3 linked regions of the Oryzias latipes genome follow. Each later gene encodes a partner of the first gene's protein in a complex. Links are inferred from orthologs where the notes say so. Each region holds a gene or a part of one and is shown in the gene's direction. Other genes may lie near its edges.

The links. Proteins that work in one complex are often made in the same cells at the same time.
Region 2: the proteins of rev1 (region 1) and pold3 are in contact, whole or in part, in an NMR structure (PDB 2N1G), measured with the Homo sapiens proteins. The link is inferred for Oryzias latipes from reciprocal best matches to the Homo sapiens genes REV1 and POLD3. Residues at the interface, in NP_057400.1 of Homo sapiens: Asn1158, Leu1159, Ala1160, Gly1161, Leu1171, Leu1172, Glu1174, Trp1175, Ile1179, Met1183, Glu1184, Glu1185, Asp1186, Gln1189, Val1190; in NP_006582.1 of Homo sapiens: Gly232, Asn233, Met234, Met235, Ser236, Asn237, Phe238, Phe239, Gly240, Ala242, Ala243, Met244.
Region 3: the proteins of rev1 (region 1) and polk are in contact, whole or in part, in an NMR structure (PDB 2LSI), measured with the Homo sapiens proteins. The link is inferred for Oryzias latipes from reciprocal best matches to the Homo sapiens genes REV1 and POLK. Residues at the interface, in NP_057400.1 of Homo sapiens: Asn1158, Leu1159, Ala1160, Gly1161, Ala1162, Asp1167, Leu1171, Leu1172, Glu1174, Trp1175, Thr1178, Ile1179, Met1183, Glu1185, Asp1186, Gln1189, Val1190; in NP_001374042.1 of Homo sapiens: Lys564, Lys565, Ser566, Phe567, Phe568, Asp569, Lys571, Arg572, Arg575.

Annotation. Positions count from the first base shown.
Region 1 is NC_019879.2:9,999,018-10,002,594, forward strand, and holds part of rev1 (DNA repair protein REV1), read left to right. Parts: intron 1-459; coding exon 460-586; intron 587-654; coding exon 655-783; intron 784-867; coding exon 868-1,022; intron 1,023-1,112; coding exon 1,113-1,232; intron 1,233-1,340; coding exon 1,341-1,561; intron 1,562-1,647; coding exon 1,648-1,820; intron 1,821-2,862; coding exon 2,863-3,077; intron 3,078-3,161; coding exon 3,162-3,328; intron 3,329-3,412; coding exon 3,413-3,577. UniProt on the Homo sapiens protein: Deoxycytidyl transferase involved in DNA repair. Transfers a dCMP residue from dCTP to the 3'-end of a DNA primer in a template-dependent reaction.
Region 2 is NC_019875.2:1,858,959-1,861,814, reverse strand, and holds the end of pold3 (DNA polymerase delta subunit 3), read left to right. Parts: intron 1-167; coding exon 168-309; intron 310-391; coding exon 392-495; intron 496-1,379; coding exon 1,380-1,465; intron 1,466-1,538; coding exon 1,539-1,617; intron 1,618-1,905; coding exon 1,906-2,111; 3' UTR 2,112-2,282; downstream 2,283-2,856. UniProt on the Homo sapiens protein: Accessory component of both the DNA polymerase delta complex and the DNA polymerase zeta complex.
Region 3 is NC_019867.2:13,993,210-13,995,453, forward strand, and holds the end of polk (DNA polymerase kappa), read left to right. Parts: coding exon 1-330; intron 331-845; coding exon 846-894; intron 895-973; coding exon 974-1,055; 3' UTR 1,056-1,670; downstream 1,671-2,244. UniProt on the Homo sapiens protein: DNA polymerase specifically involved in DNA repair. Plays an important role in translesion synthesis, where the normal high-fidelity DNA polymerases cannot proceed and DNA synthesis stalls.

The DNA of each region.
Region 1 (3,577 bases):
TAGAAGATGGACGGATGGTGAATGATGGCCATCAAGCAATCAAAATAAAACACTCTGTGAATAAGTTTGCCTTCAAAGCTAAATGGAATAAAAATGTTAACTTTTTGTATTACATTTTTATATCTGTTGTTTCTAAATTTGAACCAAAAAATGTTCCAAGTCTAGAAATATTTTACATTGGAAAAACATTCCTCTAGTGGTCACTTGATGAACTGTCTCCAGTTCCTTTTGCTTTCAAATGAGCTTCAAATCCAGAAGTCAGTTTCTTTTTGTTTTTTTGGTTCATCGTGGTGGTGAACTGAGCCTGACTAACATACAGGGACATTTTGTCAACTGTTCTCCTAATGCTATTTTTTTTTAAATATAGGATTAAATCAACTCGTATTGTGTTGAATTTTCTGATGATGATAGGAAAAACATTATCTAAGCAATGAAACACAGAGGTTTTTTCTTTTATAGAGAAAGAAGGGGATCTTTTACACACATCCCCATCCCAAGATAGTCCGGACTCGTATGCCAACGGAGTGAATCTGGATTCTGCTGCACTCTCAATGGCAGAGATAGCTTCCTGCAGTTATGAGGCTAGGTAAAACGTTATAACAAACTTCAATGGCTGTGCGTGGACGGGGGTGTGTGACGATCTTTGCTCCACAGGCAGGCGGGCGTGAGGAACGGGATGTTTTTTGGCAAGGCGAAGCAGCTGTGCCCCTCTCTGCAGTCCGTCCCCTATGATTTTGAAGCCTATAAAGAGGTGGCTATTAACATGTATGAGATTCTGGCAAGGTGAGAGGGAGCTGAATTCTGTCTATCCCTGCTTTGTTTGTGTAACATAAAAACCCCTAAATTCTGCTTTTTGGCCCTCCACAGTTACACACGTGACATTGAAGCCCTCAGCTGTGATGAAGCATTGATAGATGGCTCTGCCCTGCTTGCTGAATTGGGAATTAGCCCTGATGATTTGGCCCAGGCCATCAGAGCAGACATCAAGGAGAAAACTGGATGCAGTGCATCAGTGGGCATGGGTGAGCCATGTTTGCCTCGCGGTTTTTAATAAGACATAATTGGCTGTGGTCATATGGTATAATTCAAAAAAACTAATCTGTTATGCTCAGGGTCCAACATACTTTTGGCTCGGTTGGCAACTCGCAAGGCTAAGCCAAACGGGCAGTACTTCCTAAAGTCTGAAGAGGTGGATGATTTTATCAGAGATCTGCCTGTGACCAGATTACCAGGTAGTTACACAGCACCCCCTGCTGGCCACAGACATTATTTTACAATCTGCACCTGTTTGTGTTACAATTTGAATAAATAAATATCTTTTTTGTGTTTTTTCTTTTTAGGGGTGGGGCATGTTATGGGCAAAAAGCTGGCTACTTTGGGTGTGACTACCTGTGGGGACCTCCAGCAGGTGTCTTTGTCTCAGCTGCAGAGGATGTTTGGCCCCCGAACAGGACAAACCCTGTTTCGCTTCTGTAGGGGTTTAGATGACCGTCCCGTCCGCTGCGAGAAGGAAAGAAAATCTGTTTCCGCCGAGATGAACTATAACATTCGCTTTACAAAGGTTGAGACTTTTCTTTTTCCCCAGTTGAAGTCTGTTTTTTTTTTACTTTGTGTTTTCTAAAAGTCTCTCTTGTTTTAAATCAATAGGTTGAAGAGGCAGAGAGTTTCCTGTCAAATTTATCCATGGAGGTGCAAAAACGTTTACGGGAAGCAGGACTGCGGGGTCGCAGGGTGACGCTCAAAGTCATGGTTCGCAAGGTTGGAGCACCGCTAGAGTCAGCCAAATATGGTGGTCATGGCATTTGTGATAACTTAGCCAGGTAGGAAATATACCACAGTTTTCTTTGTAGACCGGTGGTCCCCAACTATTTTTAGGCCATGAACTGGTTTAATGACAGACAGTATTTTCATGGACTGGTCCAAACGGGGCTGAAGTTTGCGTTTAAGTTTTTGAAGCTTTCTGAAAAATGTATTTTTCAAATGAAAACGCTACTCCGTAAAATTTAGTTTAAAAAGACTATTTAAAACTGTCTGGAGACATTTTACAGATGATGAAGATCCAACAAAACAAAGTTGTTGATTTGAAGAAGTTGTTTATGATTTGTAAAAATTCTATAAAGACAAAATTACATTTTTTTTAATAGAATGCTACTTTTAACACGGAGAATTCAATTCAGGATTCGGGCTATGTCCAAATTCCCACCCTAACCCTATACACTGCTCTATATAGTGCGCTCGCCATTTTGTAGTGTAAAATTCCCAAATCGCAAAACCAGTCTGCATCGATGTTCACTAGATTGATGGACCACAATGCATTGCGTCGGAACAATTTTTGTCAAAAAAAATGTTTTTAATGTATTTTTTTAATAACTCATCAACGTTTTTATCTTCAGAAGACAGTGGATTCATAAATAATCGAGCCCGCTACAAGCACTGCAGTCCGTGTTTTTATATGATGCTTGCAGAAACATGCGCATTCAAGAATGAGTATTACATGCCTGGTGTGGTTGTAGTTGGAAATTTTTTCTCCATTTCTTCAATGGCTCCTTTCCCCCTAAAGAAACTTTACAAAAACATTTGTTTTATTTTTTTAATTTGATTTTCTAGCTTTGGGTCCTTGATTTAGCCGTCGAAGCAGCCCCTTTAAAAAGGTAGCAGATGTTTTTAAGACATCTGACTGAGGTGAAGGACTTGACATGCGTCAAGAGTAAGTCATAAACGGACAGAATCTGATAGTTTTTGAAAATAAGACAGAAATAATCCCAATTTCTGTACCACTGCTGGTTGGGGACTACTGTTGTTGAGTACACATGGAAACAACTTTCTCCTCATTATTTTCCCCATCCATTTACTTCATTTTAGAACTGTCATGCTCACTCAGCCCACTGACAGTGGACAGCTGATCGCATCCGCAGTCATCAAGCTACTCCACGCCATGCAGCTGCAGGTGCAGGACTTAAGAGGAATTGGCATTCAGGTGCAACTTCTCGAAGGAAATCGGCATCTTCCACCGGACGGTCGGGGTCCTCGGTCATGCTCCATTAAGGAGATGTTGACCATCAGATCCAATAAGAACAGTTAGTTTAATTTGTTTGTACACTTTTTATTGTTGCTTTGAAAGACAAGCAAAATCTAAAGTATTTTTGTCTGGAATGTTGCAGATTATTGTAAGGAACAGTCCACTCCATCAGCTAGCACCTCTTCGCTTATCTCGTCTCCTGCTGAGCCGGTTCCAGGAACAAGCAAAGAACAGCCGACCTGCAGGAAGACACCCAAACATTCACGCACACGTCTCAGCATCACCATTGAAGTTCCCTCGCCTTCCCAGGTACATCTCAGACAATACTTGCTGTTTGGTGGCACCCTTAAAGTTTTTAACCCTCAGTGTTTTTTTTAATGATATCACTCTAAGGTGGATCGTTCTGTGCTGGAAGCTCTTCCCCCAGAATTGAGAGAACAAGTAGAGCAGTCGTGGACCAAGAGAGATGGAATACCAAATAAATGCCATTCACCTGCTCTGCAGCAGTCTTCGCCACACCCCCGCCAAGCTTCCCCTCCTCGTCCAGCACTGTCCAGT
Region 2 (2,856 bases), on another chromosome or scaffold:
CTAACCAAATCCTATTTCCAGCTTCCGTTTAGTGTGTCGACATCAGAAAATTCCATATCTTGCATTTAAATCTTCTTAGTCTTTACCTCAAGTTGAGGTTCACCAAACGCTGCTCATGTTCACACAGGAAATGGCATTTTTAGACTAAAGGTTCTTCATTTCGACAGAAAAATCAGTCAAAGCCGTGAAGGAGGAAGCAGATCAGACGTCTTCCACATCTGAGCCGCCGCCGCCGCCGCAGCGTAAAAGTCCTCAACCCTGTGAAAAGTTTGACGGTGCAGCAGTGCAGACCCAAAAAGACCCCAGAAGGTGTGTTTACCCCTGACCTGCAAAAAACACTCCAGCTTTTCCTTTTGCTTGATGGGAATGTGCTGCCTTATTCCCTCCACAGCAAAACCAAGAGAGCGGAAGACGAAGACAGTGAAGAGGACAAGATGGACAAGAAGAAGAGGCGGAGGATTAAGAAACCAGAACCAGACAGCAGTGATGAAGAAGGTCTTTTAATGCTCTTTTGATTGATCAGTTTATGCTGAGAAATGAGGAATAATTAAATGAAGATTCTCAGTTTGTCAGAGAAAACTGACATTTTTCTCTTTTCAGTTTATTGTTAAAACGGAGAGATAACATTTATGAGAATAAAGTTGTGAAATTATGGGAAAAATGTGCAATTTTACAATAGTAATCGTGAAATAATGAGGAAAAGTGCTAATATTACGTAAGTGGGTACTACCACTTTTGGTTTCACAAATAAGGAAATGTTAAGTCCAGTCAATATTGTTTTATTAGAAGGATATTGAAAAGAATTTCCAGGACCCTGAAAGATTCTGACCCAAAAGGAGTGGATTTGGCTGTGGCAGTGTTTGCAGAGGTCCAAGCGGATTGTGGCACCTAGATACCAATGTTTAAGCCTTATGGCATCACCATGAACGTCTGCATTTAGTCACGTAATGTGGATTCAGGCTTACACAACCAAGGTCTGCCGTTTTCCTTTTTCTTTTCTTCATAATTTTACAACCCTATTTTTGTGAATATTCCTTCTTTTCTCATACTTTTATGAGTTTATTCTCATGTATGTTTTTTTGTCTTTCATGGCCAAAATACTCCTTTGAATTTCAGTGAAAGTTAAAAACTGACAGGTTTTCTCAACTCTTTCAAATCTGAGACTTTTTAACCTGTTCTGGAAAAACTCCTCCAGTCAGTCGAGTTGTGATCTCAGCTGATCAATGTAACTTCATTTTGGTGTCTGTTTATCCATTTCAGGTGTCATTTATTTGCTCTTTGAATGTTTAGGTCCTTTAAGAAAATAGCACCTTGTATAAACTTCTAGTTAATTTTTTTCTAAAACCTGGGCTCTGTTTCTGTTTCTGTTTTATTTACAGTCGTTCCGGATTCCCCACAGCCCCAAGAGACTCTAACTAGAGAGAGAAGTCCTAAAAAAGAAACGGAAACTGTTCAGCCGTCAAATGTGAGTGACTTCTTAGTTTAAAATTCAAATGATGAGTTGCTTAGGTTCATATAAATGAACCTTTATATTGCAGGGTCACTCTGGGGCGAAGGTGAGGAAGAGGAGACGGGTCCTGAAGTCTCGCACATATCTGGACGCTGATGGGTGTATGGGTATGAAAAAGCAATCATTATTACTATTATAATCACAGTTTCCTCAGAAATATGACTTTATAATTCTTTGCAAATTCAACACACATTTTTTTTCCATCATCTTTTATTGTCTTCATAGTTCAAAGGTGAAAGTTTTCTTTTCCAAAGCTCAGATATGAGTCCTCAAAGTAAATTCTTCATTTGTATTGTCTAAATGATTTTAAGGTTCATTAAAAATGACAAACACAGTTTTAAACCTTTTAAACGCCATAGATTTTTTTACTGAATATTTTTTCTTTTTTTTTACAGTCACAGAAAAAGGCTTTGAGAGTGAATCGTACTCTGAATCCGAGGAGGATTTCCAAGCCCCCAAAGCGGCTCAGACGGCGCCGTTTAAGGCCAAACCAAACCCGGGGAGCAAAGAGGACGACAAGAAAATTCAGAAAAAAGCTCCGGCCAACTCCAACAAAGGAGGAAAACAAGCTTCTATTATGGGATTTTTTCAGAAGAAGTGAGAACATTTGCCCAGATCCGCTGGAGGAGGTCAGTTTTGTTGGTGTGGACTCACTGCTCACACATGGACAGTTTGAAAAACAAAACAAAGCCTGGAAAACCATTTTTATATCCTTTCTGTCTCCTGCTGTAAACACACGGGATAATCAATAAACTCTGAAAATATTGTGTGAGCATGCGTCTTCTTATTTTTAATCCACATTAGAAAGTAGAGAACTTTACAAACGGTTCCTGTGCTGTGGACCAGTCAGACAGGAGGACTTTTGGTTCATTCACACACTTTTGAAAATCAAACCTGGGAGACAGACAGGGTCATTTGTAGCCCCGGTGTTACTGGTTTTTAAAACAGTAATCTTGATGTTGAAGATGGGAAGTGAAGCAGAGGACTCATACCAGCAGGAGGAACACGTGGCACACCTGCAGCTAACGTGAACACCTCCTCCAAGGTCACGGCGCTGTCATCTTCTAAAAGTATAGAAAAAAAATGACCTTTATTAAATTTAGGATGATTTTTATCACGTTTTACGCTTTTATGATACCATTTCACATTTTCACAAATCAGGTAAAGGTTTCACAAATCAGAAACTGTTTAATGTATTTTTTACTATCTAAATCAAAATTGAATCCAGGTTTAAGCAGTCTAGGTCCAGAGGTTTTTCAATAGGACCTGGTCTGAGGTGGACTCGGTTCATAAAATGCTATAAAAATCATCCTATTTCACATTTTCACAAATCAGGTAAAGGTTTC
Region 3 (2,244 bases), on another chromosome or scaffold:
AACGGAAAGAGCGGAGTGAGGCTGAAGAGGAGCAGCCCTTCGGCAGCAAAGAGTCCAGCAGAGTTTGCCCACGGGGGGGCCAACACGGCGGCTCGATTCAAAAGGTTTTCCTGACCCAAAGCGACAGCAAACCCACAACCTCGCAGAAGTGTCAAGGGAAGCGTTCCGACCTTGTTTGCCCAGTGTGTCACCTGACCCAAGAGACGGACGACCTCGCCGTCTTCAATCGCCATGTTGACCTCTGCCTGAACCAGGAGGTCCTGCATGAGCTCAAAGGACAGACGACATTTTCCCAGAATCCATCTGTAGTTAAGAATAGCAAAAACATAGGTAAGAGCCCGTAATTACTTCTATTTCTTTTTGCGTTTTTACATTAATTCAGTTGCTGGTTTGTGGCCAAAATCTCTTTATCCATTCAACTCTGGTTTCAAAAAGAAGTCAATGTTTTTAAAGTGCGTTTTTGTTTACCTGGAAAATGCTCCTATGCGTTCCGGAGCTTCTGTCTGGCCGCTTGGTGGATTGTCAGCGGCCTTATGACCTTGGTTTTTACTGCTATTGACATTGTGTGAGAGGTTTGTATTGATTCAGACTGACAAAAGACATCTCATTTCACCCCATGAAGCCTCCTTGGCCCCTCCACCTTGGAAACGGCTAAATCCCCCTCCCACCTTTTTATTTCCCGACAATAAACTGAAGCCTGGGTTCACCCTTAACAAAGCTGTGCCTAAAAACAGCAGTCTTTATTGTTCTATAGAGGTGCTGCAGCTGTGTTTCCTTCTGTATTTTCAGGGAAAATGTTTTTTTTTGTTAAACTCTGCATCACTGGTGTTTGTTTCTGTTTGTAGCCAGTACAAATCTCCCACCAATGCAAGCAGGCAAAGTCAAAAGCAAAAGGTGAGAAATGTTAATACACGTCTCCTATTATTAGCAATTACGGTAGTAAATTAATTATTTCTGCTTTCTTTTCTCTTAGACGAGGCTCACCCTCCTCTCTTCCCTCTAAAAAGTCGAGGAGCCTCGGCCTTTGCAACACCATCGACAAGTTCCTCAGGTGACACTCAGCCATGCAGAGCGCCACTTCCTGTTTGGGTGAAGTTTAGAGCCAGCCGAATCCTGGACGCACATGGACTCACCAGCTCAAACGAACACATCCATGGGCTGAGGCGAAGCACCTTTTAAACCATACTTAAGCCAAACGTAACATTAAAGACGTGGAGCTCATAACATTTTAAGTAAACAGAATAATATTTATTGATAATGTCACCTTTTAATGCCTCGTTTTTATTTGCTAATTTTATAAAGCCAATGCTGTTTGATGAAAGTAAAATTATTTGGGAAATTAATATTTATCTCTTATATAAACAATAATATATTTTGTTTAATAAAAATGCTAAATTAGTTTTATCATGGATAGACTGCTTTCATAATTTATTTTATAGATATTCTGCATAAACATTCTTGTCTCTTTTTAACTCTGCACCATGTTTCCTCCTCATCTTGATCATGTGGGCTGAATTGTTATCATTTATCTAATTCTGCAATCATTTTGGATAAGTGGTCCAAATATTACTCTTCAAGTAATGCCCCCATAAAAACTAAATTCAATACTTCTGTTTAAAATGGAGTAATTTGTATACATTGTTTTTATAATAAATCATACTTTTTTTAAACTGTTGATATTTTTTCAATTTCTTCAAACTGTGTGGTTGTATGCTGGAGCTCTCACACACAGAAGATACATTTCAAAACACAACCTGAAACTTAATTGTCAATTCAGGACATTTACCAAATTCACTTACCGGTAATCCCCTTTGAGGTCAGAGGGATGCTGGAGCCTATCCCAGACACAGTTGGGCAGAGGCAGGGCACACTCTTGATGAGTTGCCAGTCCAATGCAGGACCACGCAACCTTACACTCACATTCACACCAAGGGAGAATTTAGAGCAGACATGTTCTAAGTCTGGCCCGTGTTCAAATTTCCATAAAATCTTTCATAAAATCAATAAAATGCGGCCCCCCAGCACTTTATAAAAACTGTTTGGATAGTTCTTCATTGTGGTTAGCCAAATTACATTTTCCCATTCATCATGAAGAGGCACTATCAGACGAGACATGCTATCTACGACAAGCTAACTGGGAATAAACGGTGTGAAAACTTTGACAGGGACTTTGGTAAAAATAAAAAATAAAAAACATTTAGATGTATTTGCTGTAAAATAAAAAGTAAAATGTTCATTTTAGTT